Astyanax mexicanus: one gene and its partner. The protein of the gene in region 1 purifies or fractionates together with the protein of each later gene. This does not show direct contact. Links are inferred from orthologs where the notes say so. Each region holds a gene or a part of one and is shown on either strand. Other genes may lie near its edges.

Region 1 (7,714 bases):
ACGCCTTTCTGGGGGCATTTAATCCCCGTGAAAGAGCGGAATTAAAAAACTAACACAGACACACACACACGCAAATACACACACGGCGAGCGCTAGCAACACTAAGCAACACTGGGCAACGCTGATCAACACTGGACACTGGGAGCGATATAGAATTTTATTAAAGCCAGTTGTACATAGTTGTACACAGCGGGTTTTAGCTACACATTGCCCTCAACAAATTAAAGTGTGAGGCGGCTTTATTGCAGGATTTAACTACCACAATACTGAAGGCACACACTCTTTTAAAAACGATAAAACACACCATAGCTCAAATGTCACTTAGAATAATAACAAGAGAAAAGCGACGGAATAAAAGTGTGCAACATAAAAAGCATTATACACAAAAGTACAATTTATAAAGAAAAGTGTTTTCCTATAACTATCAACTCCATGAGCTTTATCTAGCTATATCCAATTTAATTTATAATTGCCAGAAACGAAATGAAATGAACGAAAACGACCGCTGATGCTATTAGATGTATCAGATGATAATAATAATAATAATTATTATTATTATTAAAATAATTCCTCCCACAAACAAGAGAGCGTGCTGCCAGCCGTATTATCATACAAATCGCTATTGACGCCAGTGCCATCGTTAGAGCGCCTTACAACAGCGTAAACTGACACGCAACTTTAAAAGCGCTTTTTTATTCTGTAGCGTGAAGCAAACGAGCCGCGTGCTGCAAAACTTTTCCTCCACTCCACTCGCTCCAACTTCCAACAGCGCGAGCTGAAAGCACGCCTCAAAATAAATCAGATCTACACAAAAGAAGCTCTGCCAGTGGTGGACAACACTGGTTTTGCTTCGCTTTCCCTTTGAAACCGATTCGTTTAACCCCACAATGAGGAGATGCACAGCGGTAATAACAAAATAACGGTATCACGCGATGCGCGTCCATGCGCGTCCCGTCAGCCGGAGCTTTACCCCCCACCCTCCGACCATCAACACACACTCTCTCTCTCTTCTCTCTCCTTTTCTCGCTCTCACTCTCTCACTCCTTGTTTCTCTCACAGAGACACTCACAGTCCCACCACGACCACCGCTCTTCAGCCCACTATCAGTGTTATTAAGCTACTATTTAATAAATTCAGCTTACCGTTTTTCCTCCTCGGGTTGGCTTGTTTTCGCCGCTTACACCGGGGCCCATCCGCCATGATATGCTGCCTCATTGATGGGGAGTGTGTGTGTGAGTGTGTGGATGTGTGTGTGTGTGGATGTGTGTGTCTGGATCAGATGGCAGCAGCTCGCATGGACGCGACTCCTTCAGTCAGTCAGTCAGCAGCGCGCAGCCTCAGTCTCTGGCAAAACCAAACACACACAGAACAACAATGCAGGCGCTGCTCTCTTTAGCGCAAAAGCGCGCGCACACACGCGCAGGTACGTACAGGCGCAAATTTTGGACCATCCGCATCAGCGCTTGGAAATAACGTAGAAAATAAAACGGAACGTTGGAGACGAAAGTGCCCCAAACCGTGGGCGGGTGAGTGAGTGAGGGGCTGCGGGGGGCTAGGAGCTACACACCGCCGGTGGTGGGTGGTGGCGGGGTCCACTGCTTCAATGGGACATGCACGGCTGTAGGAATAACTGTATTAAATTAAATGTAGGCATGAATTAAATAGTATTAAATACTATAGGGAGACTGCTGTCTCAGTTTGCTTTCAGAGCCGGGACTGGTGATGAGCTTATTTATACATATATCAAACTGTTGCACACAAAATAAAAGGAGATAAAACAAGTAAACAAGTGTATTCACACATAGGACCGGTAAACAGGAGAGATCTTAACGCTGAAAATTTGTGTGGGATATTATTTACACGCTTAGACTTGTTTGTGGAAAATGGACTTTAAATATACATAACATTTGGTGCTGAAATTGTGGTGTTACCAGTTTACTGTTAACTGTGAACTGTAATGTAGACACCATTGGGAAAGTATTAAGTATTTTGTAATGTAAAGGAAAAAATTGGCTAAGAAAAAAAAAACGATTAAAAACTTTAATGAATTAAATTTGTTGTTGTCTATTACAATTATTACTACTACAAAACTGTATTAGTGGTACTAGTGGTAGTAGTAGTGATAGTATTGCTAGTACAATTTTCACGTATTTTGCTATACCTTATAATCATTATTGTTAATAATGTTTTATTATTTTTTAGTTCACTAAAATATAAACCATTTGTTTGCTTGGGTGTTATAATGTTTGTTTTGTGTGTTTGTTTTTTTGAAAAGTACAAACACTTAAAAGCAAAATAAATAGTTGCTGACTACTTTAATTTTAAACAATTAAAACTTTTTTCATCATCCTCATTCTAATGTCCTATTTTAGTAAAATCATTAAAACATTGTGCTGCTGCAGGAGTTTGTCTTGTAATAGGACGGCAGAGCAGGGAAAAGCGATTTAGACTAAGTGTACAAAGATAACATACGGCGCGAGGCACCGTTAGATTTCACCACTCACTGTCCCATCATATTTGTGAAAATATACCAATTAATATCTATTTTTGTTTTATCTGTCATCCTCATAGCTTGACATACAACAAAGGGAGAAGTAACTTTAAAAAATATTAATATCCATATACAGCACTGAATTTGTTAAAGTCACAATAATGGGAAAAATGTACAAAATTGATTTTTTAAGAATTCAGATGTTGTTCATATAAATAAATCCTGATCTTAATAAATCGTCCATTGAATAATTACAAAAACGACAAGCACACTTTTTTTTCAAGTTCACCTGTACAGGTGAACTTAAAGGTGAGCGCATCTCTCCAGCGCACTCCCACTCTCATCTTCCACTTTGAACTACATCTATAAATATAAATATTCACTTTATTTCTAAATACATATTCCAAGTCTTGAAGCCTATAAATTGCACATCTTTAAAGAGAGAAGGAAACAAGTCTTACCTTGTTGTTTACGTTTGTCTTAGTCGAGCTGGTTGCAAGGAATATAAAAAAAGGAAAGAAAAAAGGGGGGTTTGTAGAGCAGCCGTGGCGGGGCTTTTTTTGGAAGAGGGGGAAGAAAGCGGATCCGTGGGGTAAAATGTGGCAAAAAGGGTAAAAAGCCCGGGCTGTAGCTGGAGCAGCGTTATTCCTGGCGCGCAGGTTGGGACTGATCCCTTTCAGCCACTCCAGGAAACCAACCTGCGGACGGACTGACGTGTTACGCCTCCTCTAATGACATTTTTTTCTTCTCTCTCTCTCTCGCTCTCTCTCTCTCTCCTTTTCTTTGCTGTAACACAGAGAGATAGAGAGAGTGAGAGAGAGAGAATGGGGGAGAGCGAGAAGAGGCTGAAACACGCGCCACCTATCTTCACGGGGAGGGATAATTGAGGAGGACCAAACGTGAGCATCTTCTGGGAACCGTGAGAACTTTTCCTTCGCTTTCTTTTTTCCTCCTTTTCCCCCTTCCCGTTTCCCCGTTCGGTTTTTTTACAGCGCGGCAGGCAAAAGAAACCAAACCCCGACCTGTTCGCTTTACCTTTCCAAATAAATACGCTAAGTAAAGCTAAGCTAACGTGAAGACGGAGAGGAACATCTTCACAAAACAAATGTAGCTATATTTTAATAACAAAAGATTTAAACACCAGAAAGGACGAGGTTTTAGACTGAGACGAGTCAGAGTTTTCCCCGGCACGAGAAAAAGAGGGAAAGAAGTCGTCTTTTTCGGTGGGGTTTGTGTTTTAATTCGGTTTTAAGCCTCGTTGTGCTGCCGAGTTCTCCCTCACAGACTTTCCTCACCCGTCGTCGCCTCAGAAGCGGCGCGGATTTCCCGCCACAACTCGGGCTCGCGCCACGCGCGCCGCTCTTAAAGGGAAGGTGGCCAGGTGACAGGTAAGAAGAAACAGGTAAAACAAAATCCGACATGGATTTAACAAAAAAAACCCGGTTATTTTTAAGCTGGAAGTAAAGTAATACTGTTCTGTTTGGGGTGATAGAATATTTTTAATCTATTTTAAACCGTTTTAGCACATAAAGGAACATGTACACGGGAATTTTTAAGCTAATGTGAAAAAAGAAAAAAATGGGCACGCGCCCGTGCTGGGCGTGGTTATGAACCGGTTATGACTGTTTCTAAAATGTGTTTATTTTTTTTGTTTATTTGTTTATTTATTTATTTCGTAGTCCGCTAGAATCCGACGGAAGACTGGGAAGCCCCACCTTTTCTGAGGGGATGGGATTGGTGGGGTAAATAAAGCAGCGCTCCCTCCGTCCTCATCTACCGGAGGGATAATTAAATCATCAATCCGGGGGGTGAGGGGGAGATTTAGGGGCTGATGCGGGGGTGGGGGGCTTGTTTTGGTGGGGTTATTTTGGGGGTGGGGGGTTTCGGGGCTGCAGGATCAGTTGATGCTTTTGTTCAAAGCCAATCAGACCGGGGCGCAGGCGGGAAAGGTGCCTTAACATCCTCAACATCTGGAGCTGAGGAGGCGGCAGATGCGGGAGGGGGAGCTCCAGTCAACGGGACTGAGGCAGGAAATTCACAGGTATTATTATTATTATTATTATTATTATTATTATTATTATTATTATTATTATTATTATTATTATCACTAAAATATTTATCCTAATTTTGCTTAAAAATATTTTTACTTAATCTTCACAATTTATAATTATAATTATATATATATATATATTTTTCTGTTTGTTTTGTTTTGTTTATTATTCATAGTCATTTTGATGTTGTTTTAAGTACATTTGTTATATATGCTCTTTGCTGTTGTATGCACACAAAAATTATACTTGTTAATTATGTTAATTAAATATAGCCTACTGGCACTGTGTAATCTGCTCTACTACTTTCAACAAATTTGTAGACAAGTTTTATTGTGTTTTCTGTCTTTTCTATCAAATAAGTCTGATGGGTTTGACTATTTTACCCCTCAGGCTTCACAGTCCCGGTAGAGCAGCAGAGACCTCCGCTCTGGAGGATCCCCAGAAAGCAGCTACACTTACTGTAAGTACTGGATTACATGCATATCACACTGACTAACCACATATAGAGAGGTGCTGCATTATATAACAATATATAATGTGAAATGAGAAATCTCAGGCTTATATGAGTTTTAAACATTTTTCTTCTTTTTCTTTTCTTTTTTTGCTTTTTCTCTCTTTTTTGCTCTGTTTTCTCGCTGTCAGGCTGATCGCTGCCCCGATCTCACTGCACACAGCCTCCAACCTCCCAACCTCAGCAGCTCCTCCTGGTTTAAGAGAGGAAACAGGACACCCCTTAGCACCCTCCCTCTGAAAGCTGTGTGTGTGTGTGTGTGTGTGCCTGTGAGTATATATATATATGTGTGTACTTTCATTGGTTTTTTTTGCGGCTTGACCTGATCTCTTCATGACACCTTTACGAATGTCTGGCACAGTGCTGCCATTCAGGCGAACGAGTAATAGCAGATAACAGATTAATCAGGTTTAAATAAATAAATAAATCATAATTATTTTGCAATCACATCTGTAATATTATTTTATTATTTGTATGATGAGTCGCATAATACAGACTTAATTTGGCTGACATTTATATATGACACATTATATACACATTATGATCAGAAATAGCATGCTTTATGTATACATTTATAGAATGCCTGCAAACATATATGTAATCATATTTATGGTTGTATACTCATTTTTACAGTTTCTCCCCTTTTTTAACACAAAATTAAATTGTGTCAATATTTCATGATGAGTGAACCAATACAAATGCTGCAAAATGACTAGCAAAATGACTTTTATTAAAAGTATTTTTTGTAATACTGCCATTTTTAAGACACAAAGCTTTGTTAATTACATAATATGGTTGTTTTTTTTTTTTTTGGCACCTTAACGAGAATACGTTCTCTAGTCAGCATTCTCAATAGACAGACATTAATCAAACAGACTTTTACAGCTAAAATATATTAAAAATAGCTTTAATATCAAGTATTCAGGAATGCTTAAACATGCTTAACTACTGTAAACGCAGGGTTGAGAGCAAGCGGAGGAAAAACGTCTCGTCTGTCAAATGTAAACGCCTCACATTCCCGTTTGTAGACTGTCGTCGTCTTCTCGGTCTTCTCGCCCTTCTGTTCTGTTCTTAATATAGTCTTTGAACTGACTGAAATGAAGCACAATAAAGGCATACAGACATATACAGCTTATTCCAGCTAGGGTTGCATAGTATATCATTTTAATGTTATTATCATTATCATCATCATCATTATTATAACAATGTTTGCATGTGCAGTATTCACATTGCAGGACTTGCATATGTGCGAATGTAACGCAAATTTAATCAATCCCAAAACACAAAAATTTATATTGACCTGTTTACCTGGAGCTGAATATATTGGCTCATTTTTTTTTTCAGTACATTTTTTCAGTCTTCAGTACGTATAAGGAATTATTAATATCACAACCTGCTGAATCATTGGTGTATTTGGTGCAAACTCCTGTATTTATTTAGATATGAAATATATCACAATACATAATTAAAAACAACAGATAATTATTATTTTTTTTCATTATCAATATCATGTAGCCCTAAATATAGCACTGTTATTACATTATTTTGCTAGTTAGTATTTGTAAATGTGCCGTGCCTAAGGCAGCACGTCCAATGAATAATCTCTTTAAAAAAAGGCACAGGAGATAAATATCTGATGTTATCAGATCAGGCATTGGAGATAAATCTTTATTCGTAAATCTAAATTTGTTCACGTCGCTCCAACATAGTTTCACATTCATTCATTAATTTATTTATTCATTTATTAAAGAGAAAAGAGACTGAAAACAGCAGTAAGGACAGTAAGTGGATGTATGCGTTCATCCGGAAGTGTGTTTTATAAGACATATAATATATATATATATATATATATATATATATATATATATATATATATATGTCTCTGTGTGTGTGTGCTCTCTCACAGTGCCTGCTCCCTTTGGCTTCTCCCAACCAGTAGAGAAAAGGAAGTCCATGAGAAAGTCCCAGAAAATCTCACATCTGCAGCAGGGATGGAGCAGAGTACACACAGGTGGTAGGAAAAGAGCAAGCGCGAGAGAGAGAGAGAGAGAGAGAGAGAGAGAGAGTGTGTGTGTGTGTGTGTGTGAGAGAGAGAGAGAGAGTTAGAGAGAGAGAGAGAGTGTGTGTGAGAGAGAGAGAAAGAGGGAGGGGGGAAAGTTATTTCCTGTCTCTGAGAACATCCTCAGAGTGTTTTCTCTCCTTCTTTCTCTCTCGTTCTGTCACACACGTGCACACACCCTCTCCATCTCTCACACACACACACACACACACACACACACACACACACACACACATATGCACACACACACACACATATGCACACACACACACACACACACATTTTACACATTCTTTATGCAGTCATCTTGGAATCATTTTAACCCCTTAATCTCTGCTGAAAACTAAATATATACCGTGACACACCTTGTAAATAATAAATGGCATAATGATAAATGAGATAAATGATGTACAAATGTAATGTACTGTAATATTAGTTTTAAGTTTAATCAATTTTAAGGTTAATGTACAGTTAAATACAGAAATACTGACAGTATATAGTCTTAAATGATTCATCCGTTTAAGAGTTTAAACCTTTAACCCCTTAAACCTGTACATAGGCCCACAGTTTAATTTTTACCCTACATTAACTACTTTACTCTC
Region 2 (7,256 bases), on another chromosome or scaffold:
GGAAGACGATTTTACATTTACTGAAAAAGCAACGCCACAGAAAAAGAGAAAATAAAAAGAACAGGATTCAAGTAAACACTGACTGAGCTGTAGAGGCACACTTCAGAGCAAGCACAGTCGCTCGCTCAACATGAATGAACAGCCTGTTGGTTCATTCACTCGACTCGAGCTCACAGAAATGCAACACCACTCAGACAGACAGTAGCACAGCCATTCATTAAAATACTGTTCACAAAATTCAGAAGTGTTACTAGGTCCATATAGGTATAAAAAAAACTAACATGTTCAGGTTTTTAGGCAAAAATATGATTATTGAAGTGTGTTAAAAAGCCTTGAACAAACAGATCTCTAAATAGTCCACACAACAGATCACAAACATACACAATTTAAAGCAAAGCAGCGTGTGTGTGAAAAATGGTGATTTTACAAACCCTCTTCCTTCCCACTTTACACTCCGCCGGCTCTTTGATCACTGACAGTGGTGCACACTATAGACGCCAAAGGGGAGACCCTCATGAGAACTGCGCATCAGCCATACAGATAATTTCCCCTCAAAAACATTCTTCTTCTATTTTTTTAACTGTTACACCAGTAAAATAACCATCAATTTGAGCAACAATGCTCTCACTGAAGTGCTCCACAGAATCAGACAGGAGCTGTGTGGATAAAGGTCCAAATCAAGAGAAGCAGGATTGAGTCTACGGTGGTTAACAGAATTGCAGCATCTTCATCATCACTCTGACTGACCTATTTACAGTCGCTCTTAGAGCTCCATCTACACATTTAAACACAATAAGTCAAACCGTGTTAAAACCCAGCAGTGGAAAGAACCTTGATGAAACCTGATAACCTGTAAAATGCTGACTACTCCTAGATCAGTTTGTGTTGCGTTGTGATAAGGGTTGCAGCAGTACCAATTAGGGGTGGGCGATATCGTCCTAAAATTTATCACGATAACGATACTCTTGGCGAAATGACAAACCACTGAATTAAATTTTTTTTTTCAAGAACACACTACTGCAAAAAATATATATTTTTATTGTATTATTTGATTCAATATGATATTATTATATGAAGTTAGGGGTGCACCATATTAAATAATGCAAGAATTTTTATCAGATTTAAAACAGAAGTCAATCACCCAGAATGTCATGATGCTAATAATGCACTCAAATACCTCCATCTATCCAGGACTAAAATGAATGAATGGTACTTGTTAAAAGTACTGGCTATATCACATTTAATGCTGACTATTCTTAAAGAAAAAAAAATATATATCAACTGATATGATACAATACCGATATTATCGTGCATCCACACTTTAACCATTTTCTGTAATCATAAAAATGTACAGTTTGGTCAGTGTTTTAGGCACTAAAGATATAAATCTTTGATATGCCTATTAAAGCATATGGTCAAGAAAATAAAAAAATGTATTACGGTCCAGTAAAATAATCACAGTATCGCCCAGTTGTAGCCAGCAGCGTGCTGGATGTGACTGTAGCTGTCAGACAGAGTACAGCTCAGATAAAAGAGCAGCTGTTCTGTCCTAAATCCTGCTCCCAGAGAGTTCAGCAGCTCGTCATAATGTTCATAAAGTGCTCAAGAATAAAGCCTGACAGGAGAGAAGCTGTGGGGTCCTGGACCGATTGCGCTCTTTCTCTTTCTCTCTGTGAGGCATTACTGTAGTACTGTGGTCGGGCTGTTACTATCGGTGACGGTGTGTTGAGTTTTCTAGCTCTTCAGCATTCAGAGTTACAGTTTACTCGCCTACTTGGACTGCAAACTGGTGTTTTACAATTTAACTCTCACTCAAAAAACGAGTAAATACTTATCTAGTTCCTGTTCTGTATCCAAGCGAAAATAACTGTTATAAGTTAGGCTTTAATACCTAAACAACCACAGGGCGCCGGTTAACTAAACGAACCTAGTTAGCTAAGCTAACTAACAATAACTAACGCTAGGTAACGTTAACTAAATAACTTAAGATACTTTATTAACCTTTTTCTTTAAAACTCTTTCCCTCTTTACTCTTATATTGGAGTAACGCTCTGGTAAACCGTTTAAAACAGATAGCTAGTTATAGGTTAGCTCGCCTGCTAACTAAACTTAGCTAGTTAAATAACTTTTCTTCTTAGCAATATATGCAATCATAGTTACAAAGTGCAAAACGTTATTCTTCACACAAATCTAACTTAATGCAAAAGGAAAATATGGAATACAAAAATAAATAAAAACAAAAGGAAAAAGGGGATCATATCTACAGCTAGAAAGATAAATCAGAAATATTTATTTTTATCTTCTTAATAACAATAATAAACTGCATCTGTGCATTTAGGATGCGAGATAGCTCCAACAGTGCAGCATGGGGGGAATTATAAGCTAAAACATCTGTTTATGGACACTGGATTTAGCAAAAGTAATACAATATAAAATCGTATTTTTATTCGCAGTATTAAGGGCGTTTCTCAGAGTAAGTAACAGTTAAGTAAACTGTAGTTTTGGAAAGAAGACTCGTATAAAAGTTAGTTGTAAAAGCTTTCCCAGAAACTCTGAGAAACAACACATTCAAAAATAAATGAAAAGCTAAAGCTAAGCTAAGCTAACGCTAACTAAGCCGGCCTTTGTAAAGAAGGCGGAAATAAAAAAAAACACGCCACCAAATGAGAAAAGGCGCTAGCACGCTAGTTAGCATTTAGGCTAACGAGTCGACTAGCAGACTATTAATCAGCCCGTTAGCCGCAGCGGCTAGCGTTAGCAGGCTGGCTAACCCGCTCGCACAACAATCCCCGTTTCGGCGGCGGAACCGCTGATTAAAACGCTCACCTCCTACTCGGTACATGTTGGCCGCCATTCTCTCGCTCCCCTCCACGAACTCGAGCCCCGGGATTCCCCTCCTCCTGCGCGCGCTGAAGCCGAGCGGCGGCGGCTTTAGTCCCGCATGTATCGGCGGACTCGGCGCTGGCGGAACAAAGCCGGGGAGCCGGCACGGTGAGCCCGAGCGGCGGCGGCGGGAGAAAAGTTCAAACTTTCCGTCTCGGTGAGAATCCGCGGATGTAAAACGCGCCTCCGCTCCGGTCCGGTACCGACACAGCCGCTCCGCTACCCCTCACCGGCCACTCACGCGCTCAGCCTCGCGGGCATGCACCTACAGTCATCGGCTAGCTAGCCAGCCTGTCTCTCTCTCTCACTCTCTCACTCTACTCTTCCTCCCATCCTCTGCTCTCCCAGCTTCATCCTCCTCTTCTTCACCTCCGCTCGGCTCACCCCTCCTCCCCCCTTTTCTTAAACGTCATCTTCGGAAGCGCGAAACGTCACCTAGAGCTCGGCCCGGTCTCGAGCTTCACCGGAGAGCCTGCTGTCTGATAGAACTAGCGAGTGAGGTATCACTTCACTTCTACAAAGAACTTAAATGTAAAAAAAGCAGTTTAAAGAAGAAAAAAGCAGATTAAAATAAATATTTCATGATTTACTATAGATGTGAATCACGTCCCCGCCTTTTCCAATTTTGTTTTATTTTTTATTTATTTTAATATATGTTACAAATATTTTTTATTAGACATTAATAATCCCCTATCTGTTGGAGCTCTCACACATTTCTATAGTCTTTTTGCAAACAAAAAAATCTCATTCGTATCCTATAAATTTGACCCCCTTGTCCCCTCTTTTTCCTTTTACTGTTTTTATTTTTCCACTATTATTTTTTTTCTCTTTATATATTTGAAGAATTGTGTATTATATGTTGCACATTTACATATGTTGCTAAGTTTGCAATCTAAAAAAAATATGTATGGAGAAGTTTCAGGCTTGAAACTGCTGCAAGCCTCATTTACTACAATACCTGTAACTGGTTACAATGTATTATTGAATTTGGAATCTATACATTGTGTCACAATTTCAATTTGACGAATTAAAAATTAATTAAAAAATTAAGCCTAAATTTAGTAGATAATATTTTGTATCTGAAATGAACAACAAGAAAAAACTGACTTCCACTGTACTTCCATCCATGCCTATATCCAGCTTCTTTTTGGTCACTGTGGCCGCAAAAATTTTAACTCATTAAAACCCATTTTATTATACAAGAAATATAAATATATTTCACCAAATTGAAAACATCTGGAATGTAATCAAGAGGAAGATGGATGATTACAAACCATCAAACCAAACTGAACTGCTTGAAATTTTCACCAATAGTGGCATAAAGTTATCCAAAAGCAGTGTTTAAGACTGGTGGAGGAGAACATGCCAAGATGCATAAAAACTGTAATTAAAAACAGGGTTATTCCACAAAATACTGATTTCTGAACTCTTAAATCTTTATGAATATGAACTTGTTTTCTTTGCATTATTTGAGATCTGAAAGCTCTGCATCTTTTTTTGTTATTTTAGCCATTTATCATTTTCTACAAATAAATGCTCTAAATAACAAAATTTTCATTTGGAATTTAGAAGAAATGTTGTCCGTAGTTTATAGAATAATACAACATGTTAATTTTACCTATAAATAGCAATGGTCTCTATTTTTTCCCAGACTGTATATTTAGTTATTAAATCAGTGAACAGTAAATTTGGTTAAATTGATCTCTGTGCTCCTACCGCCCCCTTTTGGTTGCAGGCCCACAATGCACTGTTACAATTTCACCTTGGTCCTCTAGAAGGCGCTGTGTGATTCACGCAGCGCTCGAACGCCTCCTGATCCTTTTTGTGATTTGTAGTTCTCAACTTCAATTTTTCTATACAGTTACTGTCTATTACAGAATAGATAATCTAAGAAAAGGAAGGACAGTGTTCTCAAAATCATTCAGTCATATTTCAGTTAATATATAATACATACAGCAGACTCAGATGGTTTTGGTTTAATAGTGTGATGACACACAAACACATTTATTAAATCATAGCCAGACAGCGCACAGAGAACAAACTGAAGAAACAGTTCACATCTACAAATCAGCAACAGGTCAGTAATGTAAACATGTACTGCAACGAGTAAAGGGTGATAAATGAAAGACTTGCTTTGGAATGACCATCTTGAGATGATTGTCTATAAAGGCACGTACAAGCCTTTCACATTCCAGAATTATCAACATAAACGTAACGTAATGTTAATAAAGTCAAAGTATAAGATCAGTTTACTTTACATAAACATAAGCTGTTTGACACACACACAGACACACACATCATTTGTCCTGTTGTCTATAAAATTGGAGTAATATAGTAACATGTAAACCTGATATAGTGAATGTTGATGCAACACTGACTTCCTTTTTGGCCATGAAAATCTGTTAAAGACCACCATAAACATTGCATCCTCTCAGCACAGTCTTCCTAATGCTGGATTTACTCTAGATTGTGCAATACCATATTCTTCAACATATTCTTTGTCACTCTCTTCATCCCATCTCTTTCTCCTTCTGTTTCCCAGGTTCTGAGGAACTGTTAAGGGAAGTGGGTGGAGGAAGTGAAGAGGTTGGGTGTTCCTTTTCTGCAGCCCCGCTCCTCTTGACTCGCCACTGGAGGATGCATGTGTCCTTCCCACCCAGTGACAGAAGGTGACTGTCGCAGTGGGTGAAGCGTACGTTGGTCACATGACTGCCATGGCCCTCATACCTGTGACTTGGTGCCTAAAAAAAAGAAGGGAAGGAATCGTCTCAGAAGAAAACATTTCACACAGCCACACGACTAAACTACACTACCAGTCAAATGTTCCATGAAAATATCCAGACTATGAAGGAACACACAAGGAATACTGTACTCTGTGAAGCATTTAGGTGACTCTTATCTGAGGTATTGGTACCTTGCAGTTTCTGAGGCTGGTAACTCTGATCAACTCATCTGTGCAACAGAGGTAACTTTTTGTCTTCCTTTTCTTGAGTGAATACTTATTTTAAAAGTTCTTAATATTTTTCAGATTGACTGTAAAGTATCTAGAACATTACTCAAATATGGCTATTTATTGTATACCAACTCTACCTCCTCACAACACAACTGTTCTCAAACACATTAAGAGTATAAGTAATGAACTTTTTAGTTCAGAAAAGCTATTAACTTAAAGCCATTCTGGGTGACTCTACCTCATAAAGCTGACTGAGAAAATCCAGCCAAGATGTGCAAAGCTGTCATCTAAGCAAGAGGTGCCTACTCTAAAGAATCTAAAATATAAAACATATTCTGGTTTGTTCAACACTTTTTGTTTACTCAATAATTCCACATATTTTTCTTATAGTTGTAGTTTGTAGGACTTATAATGCATAAAATATTTAGAGAATGAATCTAAGGTGTGTTTAAACTTTTGAATGATACTGTATATGTATGGGAAACCTGAATTTTTAAAAATAATATCACTTTTGTGTTCATAAGTAAGAAATATTGTATACTTAGTATTTAATGCAAACTCACAGTAAACTGTTGTAAACTGAAAGTAAATCCAGCTTATTTGATAAAATCACATGTCCACATGTGGACACCCCTTTTAAAGAATGAATTCATGTACATTGCTTCCATTGCTGACAAATGATGATCAACACATGCCCCCCATCCTTAACTTCACCTCTAGCCCTATCTATTGGAGATACTGCTCTACAGTGCTCTAGTTCCTGTAGAGCAGTGTCACCAATAGATTAAGGCTCTGGAGCAGATTAACATGGGGGGGCACGTGATGATCATCCACCTCCTTGAACTCACTAACGCTTTATAACTGAATGCAAGAAAATTCTTACATAAAAGCTACAAAATCTAGTAGAAAGCAAGAGAAACTATTTTTAAGTCACAAAAAACAGGGGCCCAATACTTTTAGTTCCATTTGTGATACCAAAGAAATTATACTGTAAACATTATACTGACCTTTGGTTTAGGACATGGATACTGGAATAAGTGGACTTTGCAGAAGTCATCTGCCACTGCCACTATTCGCTCGCTGTGAGAGCGACACAGAGCGTTGATATCGGTCCCATCCGAACCCTCCAGCCACACACCTGCACATTAAAAACATCAGAAAAGCACCCTATTACAATACATGCAGTACGTACGTATGACTTCAGCTGCTCTAACACGACTCAACTGGGTAATAAACTCCCTGCAGACAAGCCTGAGGCACATTTTATAAAGCATTAATACTGCATGTGTATAATACAGTCACCAGAGACCTGCTGTCATTATTTATTAGAGGGAGGAGAATGCAGGTACATTTTAAAAGCATATATACAGTACATATAAGTTTACCACCATACTACATTTTATGAATATAAAGAGAAAAA

Evidence for each region. Proteins that work in one complex are often made in the same cells at the same time.
Region 2: the proteins of zeb2b (region 1) and mta2 purify together in Homo sapiens (affinity purification with western blotting; 3 studies listed by BioGRID and IntAct, with this or other methods). This does not show direct contact. The link is inferred for Astyanax mexicanus from reciprocal best matches to the Homo sapiens genes ZEB2 and MTA2.

Annotation. Positions count from the first base shown.
Region 1 is NC_064412.1:34,804,992-34,812,705, reverse strand, and holds the start of zeb2b (zinc finger E-box-binding homeobox 2b), read right to left. Parts: upstream 3,274-7,714; 5' UTR 2,953-3,273; intron 1,345-2,952; 5' UTR 1,216-1,344; coding exon 1,143-1,215; intron 1-1,142. UniProt on the Homo sapiens protein: Transcriptional inhibitor that binds to DNA sequence 5'-CACCT-3' in different promoters. Represses transcription of E-cadherin. Represses expression of MEOX2.
Region 2 is NC_064415.1:31,199,386-31,206,641, reverse strand, and holds the start of mta2 (metastasis-associated protein MTA2), read right to left. Parts: upstream 3,268-7,256; 5' UTR 2,855-3,267; coding exon 2,827-2,854; intron 1-2,826. Other genes in the region: eml3 (echinoderm microtubule-associated protein-like 3), read right to left, coding at 5,394-5,624, 6,844-6,974. UniProt on the Homo sapiens protein: May function as a transcriptional coregulator. Acts as a component of the histone deacetylase NuRD complex which participates in the remodeling of chromatin.